Ovis aries: one gene and its partners. The protein of the gene in region 3 interacts with the protein of the main gene of each other region in a biochemical or structural test. Links are inferred from orthologs where the notes say so. Each region holds a gene or a part of one and is shown on either strand. Other genes may lie near its edges.

Evidence for each region.
Region 1: the proteins of KBTBD8 (region 3) and TCOF1 form a complex in vitro, tested with the Homo sapiens proteins (2 studies listed by BioGRID, with this or other methods). The link is inferred for Ovis aries from reciprocal best matches to the Homo sapiens genes KBTBD8 and TCOF1.
Region 2: the proteins of KBTBD8 (region 3) and NOLC1 form a complex in vitro, tested with the Homo sapiens proteins (2 studies listed by BioGRID). The link is inferred for Ovis aries from reciprocal best matches to the Homo sapiens genes KBTBD8 and NOLC1.

What each region holds. Positions count from the first base shown.
Region 1 is NC_056058.1:59,468,145-59,478,988, forward strand, and holds the start of TCOF1 (treacle protein), read left to right. Parts: upstream 1-3,810; 5' UTR 3,811-3,860; coding exon 3,861-3,968; intron 3,969-6,339; coding exon 6,340-6,395; intron 6,396-9,188; coding exon 9,189-9,337; intron 9,338-10,844.
Region 2 is NC_056075.1:22,591,358-22,602,042, forward strand, and holds the start of NOLC1 (nucleolar and coiled-body phosphoprotein 1), read left to right. Parts: upstream 1-3,651; 5' UTR 3,652-3,673; coding exon 3,674-3,793; intron 3,794-6,378; coding exon 6,379-6,434; intron 6,435-6,544; coding exon 6,545-6,675; intron 6,676-6,771; coding exon 6,772-6,908; intron 6,909-7,306; coding exon 7,307-7,472; intron 7,473-9,590; coding exon 9,591-9,712; intron 9,713-9,832; coding exon 9,833-9,974; intron 9,975-10,247; coding exon 10,248-10,376; intron 10,377-10,675; coding exon 10,676-10,685. Other genes in the region: PPRC1 (peroxisome proliferator-activated receptor gamma coactivator-related protein 1), read left to right, coding at 553-702, 811-877, 1,001-1,122, 1,364-1,667. UniProt on the Homo sapiens protein: Nucleolar protein that acts as a regulator of RNA polymerase I by connecting RNA polymerase I with enzymes responsible for ribosomal processing and modification.
Region 3 is NC_056072.1:34,570,005-34,580,250, reverse strand, and holds the end of KBTBD8 (kelch repeat and BTB domain-containing protein 8), read left to right. Parts: intron 1-2,307; coding exon 2,308-3,422; intron 3,423-6,147; coding exon 6,148-6,611; 3' UTR 6,612-9,445; downstream 9,446-10,246. UniProt on the Homo sapiens protein: Substrate-specific adapter of a BCR (BTB-CUL3-RBX1) E3 ubiquitin ligase complex that acts as a regulator of neural crest specification.

The sequences.
Region 1 (10,844 bases), on a different chromosome or scaffold from region 3:
AAATGGCAATCCACTCCAGGTCTATTGCCTGGAAAATCCCATGGACAGAGGAGCCTGGTAGGCTACAGTCGATGGGGTCGCAAAGAGTCGGACACGACTGAGCGACTTCACTTCACTTCCCCCAACACACACACATACACACACACACGTACACACACACGGAGCCGTCACAACATCTCTCCCCTCCCCTTTACACAAATACTTCTCAAAAGACCCACTGCCTCCCTCACCCCTCCTTCACTCATCAGATCGCTGCCATCTGACCCTCTCCATCACTTTCCACAAACAGTATTCCCTAAACCCACCACCAACAGTCCCCATGACTGTCAGTAACTGAAGCCACTGGTCCCATCCTCATCCTTCTGACCTCTCAGAACATTGCCCCTTGACTCTCCCCACTTTCCCAAAACTCTCAGCTTCCTTCCCTTGGCTTCCTTCCCTAGGCCCACTCTCCTGGGTTTTCTCCCACCTCTTGGGCCCTCCTTTGCAGCCTCTGCAGGTACACCCTCATTTTCACAGCCACAACCTGTGGGTGTGCCTCACAGCTCCATCCTGGGGCACCTTCTCTTCTCTCTGGCCAATCTGGGCCTCCCCCACAGCCACGTGATCATCTGTCTCCTGACAACTTCCCATCCTCGTGTGCTTCCAAACCCAGGCCTATGCAACATCTACCTCCAGGGTCCCAAAGGTCTTTCAAGCTCAACACGTCTAAAGTGGAACTTGCATTTTTCATGACCCCCTCCACAGCCTCCCATCATCACTCACCCAAGCAACTCCTCCCAGTTCACCTTCAGGTTTCCCCATCTCAGTGAAAAACCACTGCCTGTTTTCATGGAAACCTCAGAGGTCATCCTGACACTCACTCTCCATCCCCTCCATTCCCACACATCTCTTTGATGATTTTACTTCCTGATACCTGGAACCTTCCACAGCCCTCCACCTGTACTGCCATCAGCACCACCCCTGTGATAGTCTCCCCGGATGCCTGCCTGCCCTCCTAACCCTAACCTGTCATCTTGCAGCTACTCACACACACACACACCCCATTCCACTCTCTGCCTACAGGGGTCACATTAAAATGCAAATGTCATCCTATCCTTCTTGGACCTACACTGTCAGTGGCTTCCTAAATCTCTGAGGATGAAGAGAAAGATTCTCGATACAGAACCTGCCTCTGCCCTCCTTCTAAACTCCCCAATCCCCCTGCGCTCCCTCTGGGCCCTGTCACGAAGGCATTTTCTCACCTCTTCTCTCAGTGGTACCTTCCACCTCAGGCCCTTTGCACAGGTCCGTTATTCTGCCTAGGATTCTTCCCCCTACCCCACTCTCCCCTCACATAGTTCAGAGGTCCTCACAAAGATCACTTCCTCAGGGAATCCTTCCCTGACCCCCAAGCAGAGATAGATCCTGTCATCCTGTCAGATGATTTCATGGTGACGGCTAATGGACACACAAGTGCAGTACTATTCTTGGAAATTTTCTGTGCGTTTCTGCTTAGAACTCATTTACTCCTCATGGCAACCCTATCAGGTAGAAACTATAATTACCTCTATCTTATGAGTGAAGAAACTGAGGCACCAAGAAGTTATGTAACTTAGCGAAGGTCACCTAGTTAATAAGAGACAAAGCAGGAGTTTGAACCTGGGCAGAATGACTCCAGCATAGCTTTTAAATACTCCTCTTCCATAAGAAAAAAACTCTATCCTTTTCTTTTCTACACTTACTCACCGCTTGTAACAATGTATTTGTATGTGTTTAATAACAAAAACAATATAAATAACAAAATGCATGTAACAAATTATATGTATTTGTTAGGTTACGTCTCCCCGTTGAACTATAAGCTCTGTTGGCGTGGAGACAGTTTTATTTCCAACAGTAGTTGTTCAATAAATATTTGCTAAATAGCTGAATGTAGATTAGTCTCCCCTCTCTTCCTCACTTACCATATTCCATCAGTTACCTGGTCCTGTCCCTATTTCTTCCTGGAGCAATCGTTCCTAAGCCTAGGGTGGTCAGGTATGTGCTTACCCCGTATCCTAAAATTGGACGGAAAACGTTATGTGTCTGTACACCTTTAGAATTTTCTACAGCAAACGTTAGGTGCTTCTTGCTCTCTTCATTTTCTCGATGGACACATGAAGTTAAGAACGGCTGGTTCAGGACTTCCTTGTTGGTCCAGCGGTTAAGAATCTGACTGCCAATGCAGGAGGCATGAATTCGATCCCTGTTTTGGGGGAGCAACTAAGCCCGTGTACCAACAGCTACGGAGCCCATGCTCTAGATCCCACATACCGTAACCTCTGACACCCTAGAGTGCCCTAGAGCCCCTGATCCGCAGGAAGAGAAGCCGTTGCCACAGTGAGAGGCCCAAGCACTACAACTAAAGAAAGGCTGCGGGTAGCAATGATGGCCTAGCGCAGAAGACCAAATAAATAAGGAGACCCAAATAGATAAATAAATGAACAGCCAAATAAAAATTTTAAATATATGTTAAAAGAAAAAAAAGAATAGCTGATTCAAATATTCCCCAGCCTAACTCACCCTCTCCCTGCCAATCTCCTCTCCACAACTACAGCACCCTCTCATCCAGTTTTGTTCTCCAAAAATCCATCCTCTATGCGTTGGTCATAGCAATCTTTTTTTTTTTTTTTTGGCTGTGCTGGGTCTTTGTAGCACGAAGGATCGTCAATCTTCATTGAGGCATGTGGACTATTTAGTTATGGCATGAGAAGTCTTAGTTGTGGCATGCAGTTTTTACTTCTCTGACCAGGAATCAAACCCAGGCCCCCTGCGGTGGGAGTACAGAGTCTTAGCCGCTGGACCACCAGGGAAGTCCCCATTGCAATCTTTAAAAAACACAAACCCAAGTCACCCTCCTGCATAGAATCAGACAGAGACTGGCTATTGCCCTTGGAGCAAAGTGCAAACTCTGACCAGGTGGAGCGGGTGTTGAAGGCCCTGTTAACTTGTCCATCCTTCTGCATCCACACTGGTTCCCTCAACCCTCCAACTCAACAGTCCAGCAGCACAGACGGCGTTTTATGTTTGGGTTTCCTGGCCTGTACCGAAGTGGTTTCTCCTGTCTATATTCATGCAGTGCCCTCTGCCTGGGATGCCAGCCCTCTCCTCTGCACCTAGAAACTCCTATTCTGTCTTTAAGCCTCAGCTTAGATACCCTCTTGGGGTTAGGGGCCCCTCCTTTCTCCCATAGGCTGTGCTTGTCCCAGACAATGTGCAGAAGACTTTGAACCATAGTTGCTCGATTACCAGCCTCTCTCTTCCCTGTGAGCTTTGAGGGCAGCTGCCACATCTTATATATCCCGCAGGCCTAGCCTAAGCGCTTGCCGAAGGTATGGCGCTCAATAACTATTCAATGAATGAATGAACGATGACAAATAGCACCGGTTCATGCGTTCTAAAAAGATTTGTGAAATGATTAAATGAGTGGGTAAGTGGAAGTTCGAGTCTAGAGAGAGCTGGAGAATAGGATATTCAGAGATGAGTAAAATCCGATCACAGCTGTCACACAGCTAAGAGGAAGACAAATGCCTTCAAGGAGCGAGGCTGAAGGATTTAAGAGGGAGGCATTCTAATCTTAGGCGGCCCAGGGGGCGAGTCCGGATCCGACTCCCGCCCTCCCCGCCAATAGGCGGTCTCAATGCCTCCCATGCCTCCTCCCTTTTCATCCGCGGAGGCGGGGCCGGCCACCTTTGGAGATAAGACTACGCTTCCCGGCGTGCCGCGCGGCGGGCGGAGGAGGAGCCGGAAGTGGGGGTCGCGAGGTCTAAGGGCACAAGGGAAGTGGCGGGCGGGGACTGAGGGGGGCGTGCAGGTGAACGGACAGGCCGGGGGTCGCGGGCATGGCTGAGGCCAGGAAGCGGCGGGAGCTCCTTCCCCTGATCTACCAGCATCTGCTGCAGGCGGGCTATGTGCGTGCGGCGCGGGAAGTGAAGGAGCAGAGCGGCCAGGTAAGCGTGCGCGGGCCGTGTCCAAGGGCCGCGTGCAAGATCTATGGAGAGGCGGCCCGCGCCTCTTCCTCTGGCGGCCTGCGGGCGCCGAGATCCCGGATCCCACTGTGCTTTGGGACGCGGCCCGGGGTGCTGAAGGGGCCGCAACCTCTGCCCCGCACCTCTGTGGCTCCCAGTTCCTCTGGGCCTCACTTTCCTTATCTGTGGAGTGGGCGGGCCGGGAAGTGAGACCGAACGCTCTGGGCTTTATAATTCCCGCGCCCCTTACCTCCACCCCCTTCCGGGAGCGACAATTTAAAATTTCGAAGTATCAGGCCACGTGGCTCGGCGCGGCCCCCTAGGGCGAAAAGGTTGCTGCGAGTCTGAGGAGAGAATCGCTACCAGCCCAGAAAGGAGCGAAAGAGCGCCCGAGAAGGGGCCTGAAGCTGCTTGACTGAGCTGGAGCTCAAGCCCCTAGCAGCTTTTCTGTACTAATTGGGAGTTGAACTCGTGGTGTAGTCGCTCTTACTTCATCCATCCCTCAAGCAGCTGTTAATCTGGCAGTGAGGGTGCTGGCGATAGAATAGCGAGGAGGGTCCCTTGGCTTACTAATTAGAGTTTACAGGCTAAATCTGCTAGGGGAGATTGACATAAATCAGAGGACCACAAAAGTAACTGTGCACTCAGCACTGCATTAACTGCCAAGAATGAGAAGCATAGGGTGCTAAGACAGGAATGGCAGATCGCCTTAGTCAGGGATATCCAGACCTGCTCTCCAGAGGAAGTGAATGCTACTTTGAGATCTGAGAGAAGGAAGTGGATGTTCCAAGTAGGAATGCAAAGTGTTGCATATGTACTGGCCGCCAGAAAGTTTATTGTGACTGAAGTATGGAGTACAAGGGTGACAGAGATCTCTGGGGAGACAGAGGCAGGAAGTGGGCTTCCTTTGGTTTTGGTGAAGTAGTGGTAAGCCACTGGAAGGTGTTAAGTTGGTGTGGTGTCTGTTGACTTGATTAGTCGGTGTCTGTCTGGCTATGGTGTAGGCTCTGGTCATGATACTTTCTCTCAGGACCTCTGGGAGAGACTAAAGGATGACAAATAAGACATCATCTGTGCTTTTCCCAATCTTTGGACCTCGGTAGCTTTTCTTACTTCAGTTATATCACTTACCAGCTACAGGGAACAAAAGGGAGTACCTATCTTCTTTGGGGCATTTGCCTAGACGAAAGAATCCTGCCCTCATGAAGCATATATTCCAGCAGGAACAGACAAATGACTGAATTTTTTTTTAAGTTAATGATACAGTGTATGGGGTGATGGTAGGTGCTAGGTGTAAAAATAAGGCAGGTAGAAGGGATAAGGAATATCAGAGTTAAATTATCTATAGGGTGGTCATGAAACCCGAGTGAGAAGGTGACTTTGGGGCGAGGACCTGAAGAAAGTGAAGGAGTGAGCCATATAGTTGGCAGGAGAGAGCATTCAAGACAGAAAGAACAGCCAGCCCCGATGGGGGCGGAGTCCCCTGACAGATTTGAGGGACAGTGAGGAGGCCAGTGTGCCTGGGGCCAAGGAAAGTGAAACTGACACTTTTAGTCACTGTCAGTTACAGACTGAATGTTACTGGCTGCTGTGCTGTGCAGTTACTATTGTAGACTGTCTCCTTAAGGCCTGAGAGCAGCATCTTAGATGGGTACTGCTGTTATCCCCATATAAAGAAAGAACCTGCAGCTTTAAAGAGCTGAAGACAGTAGACTATCCAGTTAACAAATTAATTCTCTTTGCCTGACCCTAGATGCACCCTCCTGGCCACTCTGCTTAAATCCCTGGCCCTGCATTACTCACTCAGCCTCCTTGGGGCACTTGACACTCCAGGTTCTTGACATTTGCAGAGAGTAGACTTCTGATCTTGGCTCCAGAGGGCTTTGCTTCTACCAAAGGATTGGCACCATTTGGTTCCAGTCTCTGCCCAGTGGGTGAGCAGACAGCGTGGTTGTCTAGTCTGTGGTTCATACTGCCTGGGGAAATTGACCAGCTTGACTTTTGAAAGGTCAGGGGTGGAAAAAGCCCTGTCTTGTGGCACCTAAGCCTGGAGAGTGCCAGGGAGGCTGGGGGCTGAATAAATGCTAGCTTGGAATATTCCCACTCTACTCTGTCAAAGGTACTTCTCACCAGAATATTGTCTTAAAAGGTTTTAGTTGGAAGTACTTGCCCTGTGTGTCTCTGAAAGGTTCGGGTGGTCCTGGCAGGGCTGAGCAGACGTATTGCCCAGAGCAGAAAGACCCCCTTCTCAACCATCTCTCTGTGGTTCATGATGTCATGAGCGTGGGGCCCAAGGAGGAACCTTGCTGTACTCAGGAGGGTTAATTGCTGCTTTCTCTTTGCTTCTCTGCAGAAAATTTTCCTGAGTCAGCCTGTAACCCTTCTGGACATCTATACACACTGGCAACAGTAAGTCTAATGGGGCTGAGGGAGTGCAAGAAGGACACCCCAAGCTCTCAGCATGAAATCAGCTAGGATACTAATCTGGTCTAAAATCTGTCCCCGTAACCCACTGTAGATACTTTTATCACCTCTAGGAAGCTACACCACAGATATGGGTGTCTGTCTGCTAGTAGAGAGGACACTGAGAACTGTGAGCAGTGTCTCTGAAGGACAAGAGCTTCTTGGCAGCTTGTTATTCATTCAGTCAATGAGCATTTATTGAGTAACTGCTGAATGCCAGGCTCTCAGTACAGAGATATTGTCATGAATGAGACATGCATGGTGGCTCCTTTCCTGGAGCTGACACTGGAGTCAGGGAGGTAAGCATGCCACAGAGAATGAGACAAATGAGTATAAAATCACAGTGGTGGTGAGGATTATGAAAGAGGTGCCTGGGGCCAAAACTGCCTGAATAGGTTAGCATCACCTCATTTAGGTGTGTAGGAGTGGCTTCCTTGAGGTGACCTTTGAGTTGAGAACTGCAGGAGTGGGGAGGTGAACTCGGCAATAGGTGTGGAAAGGCTGATGGAGTGTAGCTGGCAGAGGGAGCTGCTGGTCTGAGGCTGTAACTGCTGTGCAGTGCAGACGAGACTAGACAATCGTCAGGGACCACCCCATGACAGGCCTGATCACCCACAAGGAGAAGTTGTGTCTTTGCCCTGAGAACCATGGACGGGTGAAGTGAAGAGTGGTGAGGTCGCTGGCTCGACTGGGTAGGCTGTGGATATCAGCCTCCAGACAAGAGCTGCTAGGGCTTGAGGCAGGAATAACATACGAGGGAGACAGTGTGCAGGAATACCAGAGGATGAGATGAGGGTCTGCAGATGGTTTGGAGAAGCAGTGTAGTCAGCTCCCAGGTGTCTGACTTGTATGCTTGAATGGAAGGAACCCAACGTGGAGGGAAAGATTTCAAAGACATGCTGAATGTGAAATGTCTGTGAAACACGCAAAACAAGGAGAGGGGATAATCCAAGGACTTATCAACAGAGGAATGGATTGAAAATGAAGGAGCGGGTAATCGCTCCCTCAGTGAACTGGCCTGACCACAGCCAACTACGGGAGTGAAGGACCTGCAGTTGTGACCCATGAGGAATGATAGTGAACATGCAACTGTCTGGGTGGAAAAAAGATGGCAGAGGGGCAGTGGAGGGACCACTATCTGCACATGTTTTGAGACGAAGGGAGTGGGGTGTTCCCTAGGGCCTGAGAGAGAAGTGGGACCCATGTGAACCTGCTTTAGGAAGCCAAGTGTCAGCTTCTGAGTGAAAGCAGTTGGTCATCAGAGCTGTCCAAAACTGAGGTGGGCTACAGTAGAGTGGTGAGATCCCTGTCATCAGAGGTGTGTAAGCAAAGGCGGGCATGGTAGAGAAGGGATCCCAGCTTCCAGTAGAGAGCTAAGGTCTTTGCAAGCCCTGTCAGCCCTCAGTTCTTGGCTCTCCTCTGCTGCTAAGGTGAGCACAGGGTACACCCCCCACTTCCTCTTCCACGTGCCCAGGTGTCTGCTATTTGTGCAGCACTTCCTTCCCCAGAGAAGTGCTTCACTGAGCCGTGCCTCACACCCTCCCCTACCACCAGCCCCTTCTCTGGATGAGCGGTGCTGACTTGGACAAGGACCTCACACCCACCAGCCTAACCTGGTGGTTCAAACCCAGCTGTATGACCTTGGACAAACTTGATCTCCCCAAGTTAGTCTCCTTCAGTAAAATGAAGATAATAATAGTAAATAAAGTGCTAAACCTGGCCAGTGGAGGCATTACTCCTCTCCCCGCTTCTGTTTACTGAGCACCTACTTTGAGACAGAACTGTTCTTGATGTAGTTGGAAACAAACTGGAAGAGAAAAATCTCTGCACCTGTGAAAGTTACGTTCTACGGGGAGAAGAGAGGCAGAGTGAACCTATACGTGTGATAAATGAAACATGTTTTTGTAGATTTCCCAACAAGTGGCCTTCCTGGGAACAAGGGAGCCAGGCAGCACATCCCAAACTGTGGCAGAGCGACATCTGTCCCACATGGAGAGTGTGGCACACAGACAGTGACCCCCTCGGGCAGGAGGCTGGGCTCAGAGGATGGGGTGCTTGAAAATTCTGGCACCTCAGCCATCTGAGTGCTTGTCCTCCCCAGAGCCTCAGACTGTGACTCTGGGCAGGTCAGTTAGCCGTGAGACTTAGGCTAGGTACTCTAGGTACTGAAGTGAGCTGGAAAAGGTTCTGCCAGCCCTCCCCTCCCCGGGCATGCAGTAGGGGCATCATCAAGTAGGAAGTTAAGTAAAACGATGGGAGAGAGAAAAGTGCTCTGAAGAAAATGAAACAGGGCGGAGAATATCTTAGAGGACAGTGGTGACTGGGGAAGGCCTTTCCGAGAAGGCTGTACTGCAGTTGAGGCCTGAGGGACAACAGGGACCTGGGCAGTCTTCCAAGAGGAGGTGACTGTGGGTGCCACAAGTCCTGAAGGAAGGAGGGACCTGGATGATTCTGTGAAGTGTATACAGTGCTGGCGCTTAGAGCTCTGTGACTCTTAGCGGCTGTTAGAAAATACTGCCCACCCTTCCTGAGTGTTTGAAGATAAACTGTAAAAATACAGTGAAATGAGTGAAGATGCACAACACGAAATTGTTTCTCCACTCTGTTTCATCACTGTTTAAAGTCTCTTTATACACTTTCCCTTTGGGGTCAGGGAGGATGTGGGAGGTCTTCCTTTTCAACTATCCTAGGGTTGTCCTTGCCCCCTGGTTGAGCTTGCCAGTCACCCTTGTCCTGCAGAACTTCGGAGATTGGCCGGAAACGGAAGGCAGAGGAAGATGCGGCCTTGCAGGCCAAGAGGACCCGCGTGTCAGACCCCATCAGCAGCTCAGAGAGCTCGGAAGAGGAGGAGGAGGAGGAGGAGGCAGAAGCCAAAACCACCAAACCCAGTAAGAGTCCTGGGTGCTGAGAGGGCCCCTGTCTCTGAGCCAGGGGCTCGGTGTAGTACCCTGCACCTCTCGGGGACCGGCTGTTGTATATTGGATTGTTCCAAGGGAGAGTCCACCTCCAGCTTCACCTTCTGTGAGCCCTTGGAGGACCAGGTCCTTTTAGAGGGAAGGTTGTAAGAGCCCCACATACCTATTTTAGTCTTGATTTGAGCCCTTCCTCTGGGCCAGACATTGTGTCCCAGGTGCTAGGAATCCAGTGGTGAACAAAAACAGGAATGGGCTCTTAGAGTCTAGAGGCATGTAGAGAGTCAGCCTCTCCAGTCCAGGAACTGCATTTTTTTAAGCCTTCTAGATAAGTCTGGTAAAAACAGAAGAGCAGCTTTCATTTTCAGAAGAACTGCGAGAGAGATTTCAGAGACAGCAGCTGGCAGGCCCCTCTTCTGTGTGCTCAGGGGCTATTTCAGCAGTTGCCTCTCTGAAGGGAGCAGGTTTAGCACCTGTACGCTGTCCCAGGCACCCTGGTTCCAGTGCGTTGGCAGGGGCCACCCTGTGAGGCCTTCACAGCCCCCTCCTATCCCCGTTCTCCAGCTAGTTTGTGCTTTAACCAACAGTGGTCACAGCTCCACAGAAGAATTACCATTCTCTGCATTGTTGGTTTTTACTTACATAGAAGGTAACTTCTTAATTTTTAAATATATTTTCTCATTGTAAAAGAAATACAGGCTTCATTATATTCATTATAGAATATGTGAAAATGACTTTTTAGAGAGGTAGTGGAAAATTACCCATATTCTTGGCCACGTATAATTTGGCAAATTATTCTTCCATTTATTTTTCCTGAGCATGTTTTTTTCAAATATTGGCTATCATACTGAATATGTATGTTATACTTTGCTTAATCTTTGAAAATTATAATGCAAAACAAGTTCTCTGTGAACTCTACAAAACATACAGAAGAGAAGTGGGAGGTTTTCTGTTCCCCTTGTCTGCTCCCTTTCTTTTCCCTAAATGCATCTCCTGGAAGGTAGCCTGACGATGCTGATGACGCTCCCCTTTGCATCTGCACTCAAACAGATAGACATCCGTACAGGCCTACATCCATACTTACAAACTATTCGAAACAAAAGCTGTATAACTGCCTACTGACTGCTTACTCAATATTAATGAATTTTTTAAGCTGTAATAATGGAATTATAATTATACTTTTTAAGAGCCCTCATTGAAAGAAACCTGCTGAAATATTGTTGGGCAACGTAATATGATGTCTGGTGTATTCTTCAGGATAATACTCACTGGGATGGATGAATGCGGGGTACAGTTGAAATAAGATTGGCCACAAGTTGGTAATGGTTGGGGTTGGGTGGCTTAGTCCTCTTCCTCAGTACTTATGAACGGGCCTAAAATGTTCCAGAATTAAAAATCAAGAAAGGGGTTCCCTGGTGGCTCAGTGTTAGAGACTGCCTGCCAGGGCAAAAAACGTGGGTTCAGTCCCTGGTCCGGGAAGATC
Region 2 (10,685 bases), on a different chromosome or scaffold from region 3:
TATGGCCTCATCTACTTTGGGGGAATACCTTTTTCTCTATAATAGACCCCAATTTTTCCACTTCATCAGTGAAGAATTCTTGGTTTTTGGTGGTGAAGCTTATCTTCAGGTATGTCGTCTGTTACAGATCTAGCACAGTCACCTCCCCTTAATGCTATAATCATAGTACTCCTGTGAGACATGAGGGGAGCAGGATTCCAGAGACACGGGCCTGCCTGCCCTCCCACCTCTCCCTTACACCCGCCACCCCTCGGCTTGTTGTAATACCTAGGGCCCAGCACTTTATCTCTGAGTATTATTTTTATTCTTTCTGACTTGTTAGATATTCTTCTATTTTTAATTGCATAATTGACAATAAATAAGATCAATGCCCAGATACTCTAGAACATGTAAAGTTCATGAGGTTCTCAGTTTGCTTTTCTTCTGTACCTCCTCTGCTTTTCTCTGCCTTTGGTCCTGAGCTTCCTGACAGGGAGGCAGGGCTGGGGCCAAGGTGAGGTAAATGGATGATATCTCCACTCCTCCATTTCTGTGTGATCTTTTGTTCTCTAGGTCCAGTTGCAGTTCTTCTGGACGTTCCCGAAGATGCTCTTCCTCTTCCTCCTCCTCATCTTCCTCCTCCTCTTCCTCATCCTCATCATCTAGTTCCCGAAGCCGATCCCGCTCTCCATCTCCTCGCCGGAGAAGTGACAGGAGGCGGCGGTGAGCATGTTTTCAGGGAGTTGGTGCATCTGGGGTGCAAGAACCTATGAGTTGAGACTTGAGCTGTCTAATGTCTAGGGGGCTGACAGCACCTTTTTCTCTTGGCAGGTACAGTTCTTATCGTTCACATGACCATTACCAAAGGCAGAGAGTACTGCAGAAGGAGCGTGCAATAGTGAGTAGAGGAACAGGTCCCAGGAGGAGAGGGCTTGTGCCTGAGCCATGACATGAGCTCACAGAGCCATCTGCAGCTATGGCTTCGGCTCATGGTGTGTCAATTTTCCTTGACCCAACATAGGAAGAGAGAAGAGTGGTCTTCATTGGGAAGATACCTGGCCGCATGACTCGGTCAGAGCTGAAACAGAGGTTCTCTGTTTTTGGGGAGATTGAGGAGTGCACCATCCACTTCCGTGTCCAAGGGTGAGGTTGGGCCCTGTGCTCAGGATGTCCTTCCTGTCCTATTATCTGTCTCAGTGCTTTGTCTTTCCTGAATGCTCCAGTGTGCTGGGCAGTGCAGGACACCTTCATCTCTACAATCAGAGGGTTGGCTATTTGGGGAATGAGAAGAAGCTCTCCAGTCCCTGTACCCTGGGGAGCTGTCTCTTCTCCACGGCATGTGCCCAAATAGCCATCTCAGCTTCTGTCTCACCCTCCCCTCCAGTGACAACTATGGCTTCGTCACTTACCGGTATGCCGAGGAGGCATTTGCAGCCATTGAGAGTGGCCACAAGCTGAGGCAGGCGGATGAACAGCCCTTTGATCTCTGCTTTGGGGGCCGCAGGCAGTTCTGCAAGAGAAGCTATTCTGATCTTGGTGAGTGGAGGGAGGCCCTGAGCCTTTGGTATGCTCCATCTCCTCCCTGGAAGAATCCCCAGCCTTTTGAGAGGCAGACTTGTCTTCCTCTGACACATGAAGGGCTTAAAGGGTGGGATGAGAGGAGAAATGGGGGCTCTTCTGTCTTTTGACTTAAAATTCAGGAGATTTTAGCTCCATCCAGTATAGATATGAGAGGTAGCTGGCCATTTGAGACCCTGTGGTTGGGAGGTGTACTCAAAGAGACCTTGATGTTTGTCTCTCTCTACCTTTGTAGACTCCAACCGGGAAGACTTTGACCCTGCTCCTGTAAAGAGCAAATTTGATTCTCTTGACTTTGACACATTGTTGAAACAGGCCCAGAAGAACCTCAGGAGGTAACCCTGGGCCCTTCTCCCCCATCCCCTTTTCTTTGGAGGTGCCCAACCTCCTCCATTCCCCTCCCCCAGTCTAGGGGAGAGAGCTGCTAGCGAGGAGATGACTGTTTTCTAAAGAAATGGAAAAAAAGTGAAATAAAAATGTAATACATCAGATTTTAAGTGGTATTTGTTTTTTATAATAGGCTTTGAAACACATTAACTTGCATTCCTGTGTAAGATGGATGGGGTTGAGGCAGACTAATAAACATGAACTAGAGAGAACTGCCAAGTGCTGTTGTGCTTTTTTCTATGGTGCTGGTGCCACAGAAGTCATGTTTCCTCTCTGAACCCAACAGGGACATTCTTACTTCCATTTGATTCCTAGGACCCCTCTTCAGTTAGGTGCAGAATCCTATTGGACTTGAAACTGCTCTTCAAGAGTCTTGTAGGTGAAATCAGTCATCTAGGGCAGTGCTTCTCAGACTTTGAAAGGGTAGCTAAATTTGGAGATCTTTTAAAAATGCGGATTCTGAGTTATGGGGTGGGCCTTGAGATTCTGCATTTCCAACAAGCGTGGTGCTATTGGTCTGGGAAGGAATTTGAATATCAGGGACCCAGAGGAAGTTCACACCTGTTGTAAATAAAGGTTTTTGAAACTGAGGCTTGTGTGTACCATTGCGTGAGCACAATGCTTGGCATTCAGCAGGTGCTCAGATGTTTAAAGAATGCATGCAAGTGAATAGACCTTTAGGAAAGAGGGACATACAGGAATTATACCAAGGACAGGGGAATGCCTATTTTGAGAAAGGCAAAGAAGTGTATCCTTTGAGAAAGTGAACCCTTACCTCCCTGAGGGGCATGAAGGAGAAATAGTCTAGGGCTAGTAGACAGGATTGTAGGGATTGCTATCTGCTAATGTGAACTGAAATATGGAGAACCTGAAATTAACTTAATAGGCCTGGGCATTGATAAATTTGAGTACTCATGACAGAGGCAGTTGAGGGGTTTTCTAGTTCTTCCACGGGGAGGATTCATAGTGTGGACTGTGACCCAGGAAGTAGAAGGGTTATTTTCAGGATTATCCGTTTGAAGAGATTGCTGCTGTCGCTCGGGTTTATTGCACATCCCCTTTTTCTCTTCATGAAGCTGACGTGAAGCTGTGTAAATAAGGGAGGGTAGAGTTGTCTCATGGGCAAGTCAAGATTGAGGTGGACAGTTTTGAAGATCAATACCTCACCACTACCACAGATAATCTGAAGGGCCCTCGGTAATGGAGTTGGGAGTGCAGAGGTTGGGGTGGTATTTTGAGAAAGGGCCTTCCAGGGTGTTGAAGTGAAGATGGGGAAGAGTGGGAATCCACTGGCAGCGCAAATAGGGGACGGTGGGATATGTGACCAAGTTTAGAAAACTCAAGGTCAGCTCAGGCCCGCCGACCCACGCCTTACTCTGATATCTGAATGCTACGGGTAACCGCTGCACTGAGAAAGGTGGCTCCAGCAGGAAGGCAAGGCGCGGGAAGTCCGAAGCTTTCCCGCCGCCACCAAAGGCGTGACCTCTGACGTAAGGGCTCCGCCTTCACAAAGCAGAACGGCGGGCTCCGCCTTTCCAAGATGGCGACACTCGTGGGACCGGAAAGCGTCCATGGATTTCGCCTTTACCCTGTCTCCGAGAGTGCGCCCGCCCCTTCCGGCGTGTCCCGCGCAGCGCGAGGACGTTGCGTGGGTCCGCCCCTAGGCCGCCTCTTCCGGTTTCTTGAGTCGTGTGCGTCCGCGACGGTAGTGACGCGTATTACCCGGAGGATGGCGGACGCCGGCTTACGCCGCGTGGTTCCCAGCGACCTGTATCCCCTCGTGCTCGGCTTTCTGCGAGATAACCAGCTCTCGAGCGTGGCCAATAAATTCGTCAAGGCAACAGGCGCTGTGAGTCCGGGGCTTGGATCATGGGCTGGGGTGGGATCACCACAGGGCTGCGGGCCCTGGCATGCTTAAGTCTGCAGGTAGGGAAGTGTGCGGGGTCCGCCTGACTAATGACTGCCAGGTCTTTGTGCCGAGCTCTCGGCGGTTGGTGGAAAGCCTGGAGTCTTGGCATCACTTCCACGAGGTCTGGCTACTTAGCGCTGAGTCTTGCTTTTTTCTGGTGAGAGGTGAGGCGGTGGCAGCGTGGGACCCTCGTGGCCTAGGTCACGTAGCTAGCAGAGTGCGACCGGGCGGGAGCGCCTGGTCCTACCGGAGGCATTAGAGGCTCCTGGTAGTGCCAAGCGTGACTTGAGTTTAACTCTCAAACGAATTTACCCAGGACTCAAATAGAATTGCTTTAGAAATAATGAAAACTGAAAAAAAGTGAAAGTTAGTCGCTGAGTCGTGTCCGACTCTGCAGTCCCATGGAGAAGCTCACCAGGGTCCTCTCCAGGAGAGAATCCTGGAGTGGGTAGCCTTTCCCTACTCGGGGGATCTTCCAGACCCAGAGCTCTAATCGGGTCTCCCTCATGCGGGCAGATTCTTTACTGTCTGAGCCACGGGGAAGCCGTTAATGAAAGCTGGGATTTTTGTTACTAAAGAAAAAAATGAACGGGAGTAGAAGCAGGGTTGAGCATCAAGCAGTTGTGGAATTTCTGACTTCCTGCATCAGACAAGTGTAGGTTTGGGAACAGTCTCTGCCACTTTAAAAGTGTATGATCCAGGCAGCTTGCTTAATCTCTTTGAATCTGTTTCTACTTCTATGAGCATGCCATCATTCACTTTATAGGATTTTTGTGAGTTTTAATAACATGATATATGCAAAGTGGCAATACCAGTGCCTGGTGCTCAGAAAGCATCAATGAGTGGAAGTTGTTATGTTGGCTATGGTACCTTAGGATGTTTAAAAAACAAATAAAAGGAAGATGACCAGGAATATGAAAGGTTTGGAATCTCCATCTCAAAGAGATCAGACAAGACTGCACAAAAAAACACCTTGAAGATAGAGTGGAGTGGTGAGGTAGTCCTTAAAAGTGAAAGTGTTAGTCACTCAGTGGTGTATGACTCTTTGTGAGTCCATGGACTCTAGCCCGCCAGGCTCCTCTGTCCGTGGGATTCTCCAGGCAAGAATCCCGGAGTGGGTTGCCATTCCCTTCTCCAGGGGATCTTTCCCACCCAGGGATCAAACCTGAGTCTCCTGCATTGCAGGCATATTCTTCACCATCTGAGCCACCAGGGAAGCTCATATGGTAGTCCTTAGTGGTCTTAGTCTTTGATTAAGAAGATAAGCTTGTTCTTTGTGGTAGAATCAGGTTACACAAGTTATAAGTCAGATCAGCCTCAAAGGGCTTCCTTAAGCTGAGACGGCCTGCCATATGTGATCTGATAGAGCTGCTTTCATATTGGAACTGTTTTGCATTGACTGTTAGAGGCTGCAGAGAGTGTTTCCACATCCGGCTGGATGGAATTGGGCCTTTCAAAAGAATCAGAAATCTTTTTTATGTGACAAAAGCTAATCTTTGTGGAGGGCATACTAAGGGCCAGATGCTAAGCCCCTTATGTGCATTATCTCATTCTCTCAACAGCTTAGTGCTTTATAGTATTATCTATCTTAAAGGGAAGAAAAACAGTATTAGATCAAGTGATTTACTCAGGGTCACACATTACTAACCAGCAGAAGTAAGTTTCACATTTCATCTAACTTTGAGCCTGTACTCTCGTATATACTGTAATGCCTTGCCATTTTTTTTGAACACCAACTCATAATTCATAAGCAGTGTAATTAACAGCTGAATGCAGTTCTGCACTGAATAATTAGCATGCTGCTAAGTCACTTCAGTCCTGTCCGACTCTGTGCGACCCCAGAGACGGCAGCCCACCAGGCTCCCCCGTCCCTGGGATTCTCCAGGCAAGAACACTGGAGTGGGTTGCCATTTCCTTCTCCAGTGCATGAAAGTGAAAGTGAAGTCGCTCAGTCATGTCCTGCTTACTCTTCGAGACCCCACGGACTACAGCTCACCAGGTTCCTCTGTCCATGGGACTTTCCAGGCAAGAGTACTGGAGTGGGGTGCCATTGCCTTTTCCTGAATAATTAGCATAGATTTTTACTAATCTTCTCTTGATGGTTGATTTCCAGTGGTTTGGAATTATAAACCAAGTTGCAGCAAATATCTTCCTGTGTAGGTATTTGTTTCATGGGTAAGGATAAATTCCTGGATAGTACACTGCTAGAATAAAGCAGTGTTTTTAATGGAATGCATGTTTTTAAAGGCTTTGATAAATAGGATTGATAGGCAGGGGAATAGATGATGCCAGAAACTACAGGAATAACCCAAGTTTTTGCTACCGAAAATTTGGAAATACATAAATAGAATATTTTTCTCCTAATTTATACAAGTAGGAGAAACCTTCAGAGATGTAACATTTATATCAGATAGAGCAGACAAAATAAGTGACTTTTAATGAGAGAGTAACACAAAATTTGAACTCCCATAGAATAACCAGGATAAAACTTTCTTACCGTGCTTTCTCTGTCTTTTCTCTTATAGACCCAGCAGGATGCCAACGCCTCTTCCCTCTTGGATATCTATAGTTTCTGGCTCAAGTAAGTCTTCTCTTTGCCAGTGTGGCAGTTTTCTCCCTGTGAGTAGGCTGGGTTGTATTCTTTGTTTTGAGAAGGTCCTGTTCCCCAGAAGTTAGCCTAATCTGCCTCAGCAGGTCCACCAAGGCTCCAAAGCGGAAGTTACAGGCAAATGGACCAGTGGCTAAGAAGAAGACTTCATCCAGTGACAGCAGTGACGACAGCAGTGAGGAGGAAAACCAGGCACCTCCAGCTAAGAAAGCTGGTAAGGCCTAGCAGGGAGTTGTGGTTCCAGGAAGAGGATTTGTAGTCTCCCAGTACTAAATGGCTGATTCTTACTGAGACCCGTATTTTTGTTCAGCTGTACCTGCCAAGCAGGCCAGTCTGCTTCAGCATCCTGGAAAGGCTGCAGTCAAAGCATCCGAGAGCAGCAGCAGCAGCAGTGAAGAATCCAGTGATGATGAGGAGGAAGAAGACAGAAAGAAAAAGCCTGTTGAGGTGCAGCTTTGGGGAGGAAAGGAATTGCTTAAGGGATTGGAAAGAAGAAGTCCAAAATCTTGGCTTTTAGCCTGGTGGTGCTGGTTATAAACAACAGATTATTACGAGGTCTTTCAGAGAGGTTGTAAAAATATGAGGTTTGGAAAGGATTTTGTAGGGTGAAAGTTGAACCCTGAATGTAGAGGAAATTCAGTCCATTCTGCAACCCTGACAGTATTGGGTTTCTCTGGGACACCGTCAAGGACTCCAAGAGTAAAAGATGTTTTGTGGACAGGTGCAGGGAGCTCTAAACAGGGAATGTCAGGAACAAGGCCTAAAAAAGGGAGCTTGCTTTTGTACCTTAAGATGTCCTTTGGGTGCCCTAAAACTCTTGCTGATTCCCCTGGCTTTTCTTACAGAAGGGAGTTAAGCCACAGGCCAAGACAGTCAAAGCTCCTCCTAAGAAGGCCGAGAGCTCTGATTCCGATTCTGACTCAAGCTCAGAGGACGAGGCACCAAAGAACCAGAAGCCAAAGACAACACCTGTGGCAGTGAAAACTCAGGCTAAAGCCCCAGCCAAACCAGGTATCGTTTTTGTTCCCAAGAGGCTAGGCTGGGGACCAGGTTGCTCTGGGGACTGGTGTGAAAATTCCTCATTCACCACAGGGATGAAATGGCACTGGTTATTGAACTAGGGGTATGGACTGGTGTCTTTTTTTTTTAAATTAGGGACTAGTAACTACAGAAATGGCTTGCCTGGTGGCCCAGACAGTAAAGAATCTGCCTGCAATACAGGAGACCCAGGTTCGATACCTGGGTCATGAAGATCCACTGGAGAAGAGAATAACTACTGCCTCCAGTAGACTTGCCTGAAGAATCCCCATGGATAGAGGAGCCTGGCGGGCTATAGTCCATGGGGTTGCAAAGAGTCAGACAAGTCTGAGCAGCAACTAACACTTTCACTTTTTTCAACTATAGAAATAGTGGGCAATGAGGGAAAACATGTTTAAAAGACTTCAGAGGGCATATTCAAATGATTTGCGTCATAAAATTTTTTGGAAGACAGGTTTATTTCTGAACTTGGGCAGGAAATTTATCCTTTGATAATACCACGGTAAACCACAGCCTTCTCCTTTATGCTTGCTGCAAAGGCAAGAGAATTGACAGTGAAGAGCCTAAGCTACTCTATCTTGTAAAAGAGCTCCATTTTGCAAAGGTACCGGGCAAACAGACTTAGACTTTGGATATTGCCTAAACTTGCCCCACTGTGCGCGAGCCAGTCAGCCCTTGGATTAGACCTCCTGACTTTAAGTTCAAGAATTTGTGATTTACCTTGGAAGTAATGAGTTACATTTGTGATTTACCTTGGAAGTAATGATTTACCGTGGAAATGGGAACCAATCAGAACCCAACACCTAACCCTTCCACAGAAGGTAACCAATTAGAGGTCTCCCAACCTGGAAACTCCCGTTTTTCGAATTTTTCGCGCGAGAATACCCTATATAAGCAATATAACCCAGAGTTCAGGGCTCCTCTCCTAAGCCACTGCATCGGTAACGGTGGGAGCCCCAGCTCGAGCTTGGTAATAAAAACTCTCTTGCTTTTCCATCAGATATCAGCTCCCTGGTGGTCATTGGGAGATTTTGAGACTTGGGCATAACAACAGACTCCTAAGTACCAAGCTAATAGGAGGAGGCTTTAAGAAATATTTATTTATTTGGCTGCACCATATCTTAGTTGGTGCATGTGGGATCTAGTTCCCTGACCAGGGATCAGACCCCCAGCTCCCTACATTGGGAGCATGGAATCTTAGCCACTGGACCACCAGGGAAGTCCCAGTTCATGTCTGTTTAAAAAATATTTTTCTTTCTTTATTTCCGGGTGTACTAGGTCCTTGCTGTGTATGGGCTTTCTGCAGTTGAGGTGAATGGAGGCTGCTCCCTTGTGGTGGTGTGCAGGCTTCTTACGCTGGTGGCTTCTCTTGTTGCAGAGCACAGGCTGTAGAGTGTTGGGGCTTTAGTTGTGGCTCCCGGGATTAGTTGTCCCAGGGGATATGAGATCTTCCCAGAACAGGGATTGAACCTGTGTCTCCTGCATTGGTAGGTGGGTTTTTGTTTGTTTGTTTGTTTTTTTACCACAGAGCCATGAAGGAAGGCTGGCAGGTGTATTCTTAGCCACTGGACCACCAGGGAAATCCAGCTCATGTCTGTTTTCAACATACCTGTCTTACAGTTTGTTGAAACAATACATATGTATGTCGGAGTGGTTGGCTGTAAAAACTTGAGCCCAGCTATCATCTGAAGGGTATTCACACCCACCTTATGGTATTTCAGACAGCCAGCTAGCTTAGTCTTCTTTCTCTTATGCTTGTTCTTGGGACTTATGTAAGAATTCTTCCTTTCTTAGTACCATCATGAAGTCCCAAAAGTAAGGTGAAATGTACACTCCTTTTGAATTTTATAGTCAAAGTACATCTGTGTTCTAGTTGCTTGCCAGCAAAGATCAATCTTTACTACTCAGGAAGAATTCTTTTTTATCCTGGATTTTGGCCCTTCATTTTCTGTTGTAGCTGAGGGTTTGACTTCAAGAGTGATGGTCATTCCCCTCAGGATCTTCATGAAATTCTGCATCTTGGCGGCAGTGCTGCTGAAGGTGGCGGGTCCGAAAACTGTCTTTATACTCATGTTATTTCTATTTTCTTAGGTACATCACCTCGGCCAGCACCTAAAGTCGCCAATGGCAAAGCAGCTAGTAGCAGCAGCGGCAGCAGCAGCAGCAGTGATGATGACTCAGAGGAGGAAAAGGCAGTAGCCATCTCTAAGAAGGTATAGGCCTTAATTTCTACCAGGGAAGAGGGGACAAGAGGGTGGAAGTCCTCCATTTCCTGGCAGGATTGGTTGGGTCAATATTTTCCTGTGGTAATTGATTTTCTCTGTGTGATGCAGACCATACCTAAAAAGCAAGTTGTGGCTAAGGCCCCAGTGAAAATGGTTGCTGCACCTGCCCAAAAGAGTTCCAGCAGTGAGGACTCCTCCAGTGAGGAGGAGGAAGAGGAGCAGAAGAAAAAGCCCATGAAGAAAAAACCAGGTGACTGGACACGGGGAGTCAAGCTACCACTGACGAGGGCCCAAAGGCAGGAGGACCTCTGCAGTCACCACGTGGACCTTGGCCTGACAGCTGGCCTGTCCCAGAGAAAGGAGAAAGCCAAATGGCATGCCATCGTCCCTGCCCTAGTCTGTTAGGAGTGAGTCACTAATCTGAGCCCATCCTCAAGGGAAAGGGAATTAAGCTCCATTTCTAGAAGGAAGCGGTATCAAAAAATTTGTGTACATATTTTATCACACTGTCCCTTTTAAACAGGTCCCTATAGCTCAGTCCCCCCGCCTTCTGTTCCCCCACCCAAGAAGTCCCTGGGAACTCAGTCCCCCAAGAAAGCTGCAGAGAAGCAGCAGACTGTGGAGAGCAGTGAGGAGAGCAGTGATGAGTCTGGTGAGTCATTTCTTGTGTTGGGTCTGGGAGTGTGTGAGGAATAGGGAAGGAAATGCTTCTCTTCTGCTTTTCTCTGAAGCACCTCAGGGCTAATGCTCTGTACCGGTCTTTGCATCCTTGTTTTTGGCTGTGTCACATATCTTGCGGGGGTCTCAGTTCCCTGACCAGAGATTGAACCCCAGCCATGGAAGTGAGAGCCCAGAGTCCTAACCACTGGGCCACCAGAGAACTCCCTACACTTCTTTTTCCTGCCTCTGGTGGGACTCTGGACCCAGCCTAATGTCATTGCTTCTCTCAAGATTCAAGTTC
Region 3 (10,246 bases):
AAAATAGAATAGCTTGCAATCTGCCATGGCTGTTTCCTGATCCCAGAGACTTGTCAGAAATAAAATGTGTATGATTATTAGAAACATATTGCTCAGGATTTTGTGTGAGGAAGTACTCCCACTTTAATTAGAGTTTACATAAAGGAAATGATAGAACAGAGGGGAACTTGCATGTTATACTGCTGTGTGTGAGGCCAGCTTATTCAAGTCAGTAGAGCAGCTCCCTTGATAAAGGGTAACGTGGTAATGTTCTCCTCTGGGATTTAATCTTTGCATAATGAAGGGCTTTCTTTTTCTTTTTAATTGGGACCTATATAACTGAGTTTTTCAGTACCTGAATTGAAAAACCAGCTCATACATTGGAACATTTAGTTTTCAGTCATTCAAGGAAAAAAAAAAAAGTGTGCAGGATATTAAACTTAAATTTTGCATAATAGAAGTAAAATTAAGACTCAAAGGATAGTTAACCCAGGTAATAAGCTGGGTCCAGGTACTCCTGTATAACTCCAATATTACATATTGCATTTTTAAATTAATTTCATGTTTTTGATAAAGGTGTTAAAAGTGATCTGAAAATCTTCCCACTCTTTTTTCATAACATCACACTTAATATAGGAGAGGTCTGGATCTGAATAATCAAGTTTATCACCAGTGTTAGGTCAATATCTTCAACAGACATCTATTAAGCATTCTAGGGCATAACATCCTTTTCTCCAGAGGATTTTAAAAGAGCTTTTGACCTTTTTATAAGTTTAAGAAGTTAAACTTATAAAAGTTCTATAAATTTTAAGAACTTCTTAGAAAGAAACATCAAAGGAGGGAGAAGAAAGGCAAATGATGTTTATAAATGACTAGCACTTTAAATAAAAAGCTAGGCTTTTGACGTCTTAATGGTTTGGCCAAGGAAGTACCGTGCTGTGCTGTGCTTAGTCGCTCATTCTGACTCTGTCCATGGGGATTCTACAGCAAGAATACAAGAGTGGGTTGCCATGCCCTCCTCCAGGGGATCTTCCCAACCCAGGGATCAAACCCAGGTTCTCCCGCATTGCAGGTGGATTCTTTACCAGCTGGGAAGCCCAAGAATACGGGAGTGGGTAACCTATCTCTTCTCCAGGGCATCTTCCCCACCCAGGAATCAAACTGGGGTCTCCTGCATTGCAAGTGGATTCTTTACCATCTGAACTACCAGGGAAGCCCTGAAAGTGCCATAAAAGCACATTAAAAAAGAAAAGGTTGGTCTCAAAGACAAGAACCTGGAATTTTTTGAAAACCAACAAAATCAGATTGCAACAAATCGATTAATTCTTAAGTTCTCTTTAGAAGTAGTCATTTTATTAATATTAACCCTACCCAGATCTTTATTTATGGGCTCCTAGGTGGCTCAGTGTTAAACAATCCCTCTGTGATGCAGGAGACAGGGCTTCAATCCCTGGGTTGGGAAGATCTCCCAGAGAAGGAAATGGCAACCTACTCCAGTATTCCTGCCTGGGAAATCCCAGGACAAAGGAGCCTGGAGGGCTACAGTCCCTGGGGCCACAAAGAGTCAGGCACAACTGAGCATCAATGAGGCTAACATTTTTATTTATAAATAGATAAAACTATGGTAACTTTGAGAAAATCAAGTATATTTCTTGATTTTCTCAAGCAAAAGTTTTCAAAATATCCAAGGATAACTGATGAATTGATGTGCTTTATATTGTTTATAATGATTAAGGAAGCATTCAAAGGATAAATATTTTAAAAAGGAGTAGGAAGAAAATAAGAACTTCTGAAGAACATCTTATTTTTCTAAGCTAAAATTTTTAAAGATACATTTTGGGCACAGGTTGTCTTGTAAATTTCCACTGGGTCATGAGAAGTTTTATTAGACAGTTTCTATATGCTAATGTGTCACACTGATACACCATAGGTATTTGTAAACTTTCTGACTTACCTGGTGATTGAAGATCTTAAGTCCCCTAAAGCAACTTGATCAGAAGCCTGGATAGGGCTCCAAGGAAAATAAGGTGTCCTGGAATATGCCTTGCCACTTTTTGATTTGATTTAGTTAGGTATACTCTGCTTTTCTCAGAGTTGGCACAAAGTGGACTGACTGGCCCTGAGAATAGGGTTTCTTTGAGATTAGCCAGATTAAATCTTCTGCTAGATGATCAACTTTTATCCCTTTCCTGATATTCAGGATATCAGGAAACACATTAGGAAATGTTTTTCAGTTTCAAAAAGTGATCCTTGTGATAACTCTTTACAAACTTGCGACAGTAATTTTTATTTGTAATGCAGATAAATTCACCACTCTTTCCTTCCTAGATCCATGTTCACTAGCGGCCTTACAGAAAGCACTCAAAAAGAAGTTCGAATTGTTGGTGTTGAAGCCGAGTCGATGGATTTAGTGTTGAACTATGCCTATACCTCCAGAGTTGTTCTGACAGAGGCCAATGTTCAAGCCTTGTTCACTGCAGCTAGCATCTTCCAGATTCCCTCCATCCAAGACCAGTGTGCCAAGTACATGATCAGTCATTTGGACCCACAAAATTCTATCGGGGTCTTCATCTTTGCTGATCATTACGGTCATCAGGAACTTGGAGATCGATCTAAAGAATACATTCGTAAAAAGTTCTTGTGTGTCACCAAAGAACAGGAGTTTCTTCAGCTGACAAAGGACCAACTGATAAGTATCCTAGACAGTGATGATTTAAATGTAGACCGGGAAGAGCATGTTTATGAGAGTATTGTAAGGTGGTTTGAACATGAACAAAATGAAAGAGAAGTGCACCTTCCAGAAATTTTTGCCAAATGCATACGTTTTCCTCTGATGGAAGACACCTTTATAGAGAAAATTCCATCTCAGTTTGCACAGGCTATCGCCAAAAGCTGTGTGGAAAAGGGACCAGCCAGTCCCAATGGCTGTACACAGAGACTTGGAATGACTGCATCGGAAATGATCATATGTTTCGACGCAGCCCACAAACACTCAGGAAAGAAGCAAACAGTGCCTTGTCTAGATATATTCACAGGAAGAGTGTTCAAACTATGCAAACCACCAAATGATCTGAGAGAAGTTGGAATCCTTGTATCACCAGATAATGATATTTACATTGCAGGAGGGTACAGGCCAAGCAGCAGTGAGGTATCCATTGACCATAAGGCCGAAAATGATTTCTGGATGTATGACCATTCCACCAATAGGTGGCTTTCCAAACCGTCCTTGCTTCGAGCCAGAATAGGCTGCAAACTGGTGTACTGCTGTGGTAAGATGTATGCAATCGGAGGGCGTGTCTACGAAGGTGATGGGAGAAACTCACTAAAATCTGTGGAGTGCTATGACAGCAGAGAGAACCGCTGGACTACTGTTTGCGCCATGCCTGTTGCAATGGAGTTTCATAATGCCGTGGAATACAAAGAGAAGATCTATGTTTTACAGGGTAGGTGCCCGAGTGGTTAAAGTTATTTATTGGAGTAGTCTGTTCTTTAAGGGACTAGTGAAGAAAATAAAATTTTCAATCAAAAAAGGCAGGTACTTTCAAGTCCCTAAAATGATCATGTAAGTTTTTTTATGTTCTTACTGTCTTTTGACATCATGTGACATAGTATTTTTGAAAACTTTTTTCCCCATAAATAATAGTTCAGCATTTGAGAAAAACTATTTCTGTTCCATTTTTAAGGCTTTAAACAAGGAATCAAGTTTGATATATAACTTTTTGCAGTTGAATGATATATAATCAAGGGACGGTAGCAAGTATTCTTCTTATGGAACTTACTGGATTAGTTTAAAAGAGAAAAAAAGAACAAAGCCTCAAATGCAGTTGTACTATTCAGTTGCCAAAGAATTTTGTATGAAGTCTTATGATGGCAAAGGTTATGAAACTCACTTACAAAGAGTTTGAAATCACACTGTTCAGGATTTTAATTTCACTGCAGTTAATGTTGTCATCCATAATACAGTGTTTTTAATTTTTTTTCACTGAAAAATTTTGAGATGTCATCTTTTTAACATTATAAGATGAGAGGGATGGTAATATACTTAGCTTAAAAATTTTTGTGTAAACAATTGAAAACTGGTACCTTGGTAAAGATACCAGAAAAAGGAACTGAGTAGCAGTAAATAAGATACTTGATCCAAGGTTCTGATTTGTGCTAATATTTTCCTTGTGTTTGGTTTCTTATTTTAGTTGCTTGAATACCGAATACAGTATTGACAATACCAACATCCTTCTTCTTTTGCATTTCTTAACTGCTTATAGATAAATGCTTTCCTTCACTGCTATTAAAAAAATAAGGAAAGGGGTGCAAGTTCTGTGTAGATACATATGATTTTTTAGTTTTTTTCCCCACTGTAAGTTTTTTTTTTTTAATGTTCTTTGCTGTAATCCTTTATTTGACTTATAATTTCTTAGAAATGCCTAAACCCATTTGTTTAAACTTCAGTGTAAAGTTAATTCTCCAGAGAGAGTAAGGAATACTTTCTCGTGCCTCATTTTAGTTGAATGGAAGCCTGGGATGATGTAGGTTTGTTGGTCTTGCCAAAAAATGGAGTATCTGAATGGATGTAAAAATCTATAAAGAATGGTTAGATAGGGCTTCCTAGGGGGCTCCGGTGGTAAAGAATCTGCCTGCAGTCCTGGAGAGCCAGGTTCGATCCCTGGGTTGGGAAGATCCCCCGGAGAAGGGAATGGCTACCCACTCCAGTATTCTTGCCTGGAGAATTCCATGACCTGAGGAGCCTGGTGGGCTATAGTCCATGGGGCAAAGAGGTGGACACACTCAGGGAGTAACACTTTGACTTATATGGTTGGATAGGTTATATCATTCAATATGATGAAGCTCTCTCTGGCTAAGCAGTTATTTTTTAGTAGAGATAGAATTAATTAGAAGACTCCCAAATGGAATATAAAGGTTGTATATTAATTTAAATACTAAAGCAAAGTAACAGTGAATTAACAGATTTTCAGGGTTGGAATGAACATTATTTAATCAGACTGTATTTTATATAAGACAAATCTGAGGCACTGAGGGTTTTAATTGCCCATTACTGGTTTTAGTTTATTAAAGTCATCTTTAGGTTTAAAAATCAACTTTTAAAATGTATTATCTTTCCTTCTTATAAGAAATTTGTAGCTAAGTACTACAGGGTAAAAATGTGTTCATTCCTGTTTTCTTTATTACGAATCCTGTTACATTTTAGTCAAAAAGCATAGGGAATATGCAGGCAAAAGCTGAGAGTTTAACAAACTGTTTTATGAAAACCTGGATTTTTTCAGCATTACTTTTATTAGGTAGGCAGTTATATTTATCGATAGGAGTTAACCTAGTTCAAAACAGTTTTCAAGGGGAAGCTCAATTTAGAAGTAGGTACTTCTGATCTAAACAAAGCCTCTTTGTATAAATAAACTTGACATGACTAGTCAGAAGATCATGCCCTACTGTCAGTGGCTACTGGAGTACCATTTAATCTGATCATAAAGGGTTCAGATTTTCATATCAAAGATTTTATTTGATTCTTTCAAATCAAAGATTTTAATGTTATAATTAGCCAAGCTCTTGTAAATCTTTACTAGCTTAATTCTTTTCGACATTTTTACATCGGCAGTGTGACTCAGCACACCTTTTCATGGTCAAAACAGAATGGAAACGGCCTCATAGTCAATTCCCTAAATGATGTATGTGTTTTCTATCAGCTTAAGGCCATATTTTCTCCTCTTGATATTTGTCTTTGCCTTATAGCAACTCTAAAGTAAACACATTAGTGGCCCATAGAAATCTGAACAATTCTATGTACTACCTTATAGTTAAATAACTAGCACATAAATTTATAGTGGCTTATTCATGATTGAACCTATATTCATATTTTGATCTTACTGGCTAACCATTAGTAATAATACTTTTTATAAGAGCTGGCTTAAAATCAATTTTCTGAAACACCCAAATATTTGGATGGAGTAAATGAAACCAAGCTCTTAACCTTTGTACTGCCATCAAGCCAAAGTAACTTCTCACACTTACCAGTTTGAATGCCCCAAATCAGGTTGATTCTAATATTATGTTACGTTGTGCCATGGGATGTAGATGTTTTAAGCTATCTTATATTTAAATCTTCACATTCTTGTTTTCTTTTCTCTCTCTTTTTTTTTTCCCCTTTCTCTTTTTTAGGAGAGTTTTTCCTCTTCTATGAGCCTCAGAAAGACTACTGGGGTTTCTTAACCCCCATGACTGTGCCTAGAATCCAGGGCTTAGCAGCTGTATACAAGAACTCTATCTACTACATAGCTGGAACCTGTGGAAATCATCAGCGGATGTTTACTGTAGAAGCCTATGATATTGAGCTCAATAAGTGGACTCGTAAGAAGGACTTTCCATGTGATGAGTCCATAAACCCATACCTTAAACTGGTACTTTTCCAGAATAAGCTCCATTTATTTGTTCGAGCTACTCAAGTGACCGTTGAAGAACATGTCTTCAGAACCAGCAGAAAAAATTCCCTTTACCAGTATGATGATATCACTGACCAATGGATGAAAGTGTATGAGACCCCAGATCGCCTCTGGGACCTTGGCCGGCATTTTGAATGTGCTGTTGCTAAACTGTATCCTCAGTGTCTTCAGAAAGTACTTTAATGAATGGCAGGCCTTAGTGAGCTCACCGGCATCTTGTGCTGGAGGAAACTTAGTCTTTCAGTGATAAGAAGAAGTGCTGTCAGTATTTAAGAAAGCTGAAGAGAGTTTACACGTGGAGATGGGTGCTGTTTAAGATGAGTGTAGGGAGGGATTTCTTTTCATCCATGTGATGTTTTCATTTCAGTAAGCAAAAGGTAACAAAGTGCAATTATCAGCATTTTTTTTTTCTGGTATAAAAATAATCACATCATTCTAGAATTTCGTGATGAATAGTCACTGAGATACCAGACGAATTGACAACTATGCACTCTTAGAAGAGCAGTTAGGGTACTATGGATTAGAGACATCCAAAATAGTTTGATGTGACTTTTTATTTTAAATACGGGTAAAAATTTGAGGCAATATCACTAGGACTTTAGCTGTGACCTCTCTGCTACAGAGACGCACTAACTTAGATCCTCATTCTGAATATGTGTATATTTTGTGTACTGTTTTCACGTGTACTGGATTTAAATGTGTTATTAGAGTAGTTTGAAGGAAAAACAAATCAGTCTCAGAAAGAGCTTTTAGTTGGATTGTTTTATATTTCCCATGTTTCTTTAAATTAAGCTAAAGTTTTAAAGTAGTTTTGTGTTGACAATTTTTTCAAGTGCTAACACTGTCTCATTTTTTTTTTTTAATCCCGAGAAGGGCTCAAATTCACAGGTGGCTGGTGCTAGTATAAGTTAACTCATGTGTATAGTTAGGTATATTTCAAATGTCTGAGCCTATGCTTACCTTTCAAATTGGTATGTTAGTTTCATGGCCATTGTACTTGACTTGCTGAACTCTTGTGATTTCACAAGATTCTCTGATTACAGGATGGCAAGCTATGGCTAGTTACTGGTCTAACTGGATTCAATCTGAGAATAGTGAGAAGACTATTGTCCTCATTTTGCACTAACATGGGCCATTTGTCGCCTAACCTCCTTTCCATCCTTACCTGTCCATTCATTATCGGTACAATGAAAGGTAACTTACTTGTCTTCTGCACAGAGCAGAATGTGAAGTTTTAACTCCTACTTTTAAAATTCTGTTTTCCAGAAACATAAAATTCCTGCAATAGTCTCATTTAATGTCTTTTGCATTACCTATGACAATTAAAACCTCATTTAAAAAAAAGTTTTTGCACTTAACAGTTATGAATAGTTTTGCATTGAAAACCTTTGTTCTAACTGCAGGTGACTGAGAAGGAAAAGTGTGAGTGAATAGAATCATAGCATTATAGGTATTAAATCATTTTTCATATTTAACTGATTAATTTCTAACGGAAATACTTACAGAGAGGACAAACCAACTCGTGTTATACCTAAGGCAGATATTTAGATCAGTAACTTATTTTTACTCTTCCTGGAATAAGTAATAAAGGATATAAGTATAGCCAGAGTCTGTCCTTAACTGGAACATTTTGATTCCCTTAAAGAAACAAACTGGCACGGTTTGTATTAAAAACTCTTGCACAAATTGTAATGTGATACTGTGAAACAAATCAAAAACATTGCCTCTTTGCATCACATACCTCGTTTTTCGGAAACTTTCCAAACTGCTTGTCATAGCCCTCTACAAGTAGGGAACGTTTCCTGAAGTCGAATTGAAAGTGGACAGCGTTTAGAGAATTGACATTTTAAAATCCAGTCTTGGGAAGCTGGGTACGTGCTCTCTTCTTGCTGGCCTTGGTAGTGTGTCTATAGTCTCCTTATTGACTGTCAACTAATCAGCTATTTTTTTTCTTCTCAGTTTTTCTTTCTCTTTGTGCTGTTTTGGGGCTTTTTCTGTGAGCATTTTGAAGCATCTACATTGTGATGCATTGCCAAGGGGAGGAAAAACCAAACTAAACATTACAAGAGATGTTCCCATAATTTATTTTTGAAAGCTTTGTTGCTTCCTGAGACTTCCTGCCGCTTTTTGACAATCTCCTGTATTTATTTAGAACACTGTGTTACTTGAAAACATGACATTAGAACATTAACAATTTACATGTGCCGTGTGATGTATAGGAGTACAATGTACTGTGGTTAATTCTGCAGTCGATTTATTCTATTGATCTGCACAACAGTTGATCCTCTAACAATTGATCCTATAACAGTTTATGTTGAGGGTGTGCTCTAAGGATAGTGTGTCAAAGCCAAGGTTTGGAATTTGCTATGGAAGTATCAATAGAATATATATTGAATTTTGTATGAAAAACTATTTGTTTAAATTATATAGCTGGGATATTTTGCCACTTTTCAGATGATTTCAGAAGAGGTTCTAGAAAACTAGGATTAGTAATATGTGTGGGTCTGTGTTTAGATATTTAAGGTACATTTGCTTAGTATGATGAGAATATAAGTAAAAGGCATAATGGGTACTATAGAATTAAAATAGAAGGTGATAGATGCCAGTCCCACTTGAGCTTTGTTTTTGCATTTGAAGAAAGTATGTAGCACTTTCCTATGTATTTTTTATACATTGAAAACTGGATGTGGTATAACTATGTTATAGGAAAGTAGAAATTGTATTCTTTATTTTCCATCTTTGTTTTCTGTTATCCTACAAAGTTGATGCCTAAGCATCAAGCTGATTTCACTGGTGCATGAGAGAAAGTGGATGTGATCTTGCAAGGAATCAGATTTTCTATGTGAAACAGTTTAAAATGGCATTCGATGTTCTGTGCTCAGGTATGTAGTTAAGTACTGTAGTCCTTTGGGGGCAAATGTGTAGATATTTTTAAACATTTTGCCATAATTGCACAATTTTTTGCATTTTTATCTGATGGCATTGTTTCTTGTAATAAAACTTTTTCTGACTGAAAAGTTCCATTGTCATAAATTGACCTCTGACCTAGCGAGTTTGGAAGAATTAAAACTTGGTGAAAATCATGTAATACCTTTTATCGGGAATCGGAGGAGATTTTCATTTACCAAATGCCTGGTCTCTGGTACAAAATGAACAAGGTAATTCATAATGCTTGAATGATGTTCTTGAAATTCTGAAGCAAGCACACTCATCAGTAGCCCCTTTGTTGAGCGGTTCTGCCCTCAACTCTTGGCGTCCCACTCCTCTCTCTCACAATTCATGTCAACCTATCAGGAAATCCTGTTGCCTCTTCCTTCAAAATATACCTCAACTCTCACCACATATCTCTTGCACCACTATCACCCTAAACTAGCTGACCTTGTCTGCCTTAGTGCTGTTCCACTGAACTGATCTCCTCTCCATCACCTTTGACTCCTTGTAATCTGTTCTGTCCACACAGTAGCCAGAGTGATCCTGTTGAAATGTAAGTCAGATTACTTTCTTCTGCTCAGATCCCAGTGGCTCCCCATCTCCCGTCATGTGAGAGCCACACCCCTTCCTCCCATGATCCTTCCCAACCCTACTCTTGGGACTGCATTGCTGTTCCACCTGCTCACTCCATTCCAGCCATGCTGACTGCTGTTCCAAGCCCCTCCAACATCAAGGCCTTTTTCCTTGCTGTGTCTTCTGCTGAGGAAGCCCTGACAACTCACTTATTTCAGTATTAAAACTCTAGACAGGCCTTCCCTGACCACCTTGTGTAAAACAATGCCTTCCAAACTCACCCCCACCCATACCACTAGTCTTTTCCCAATTTA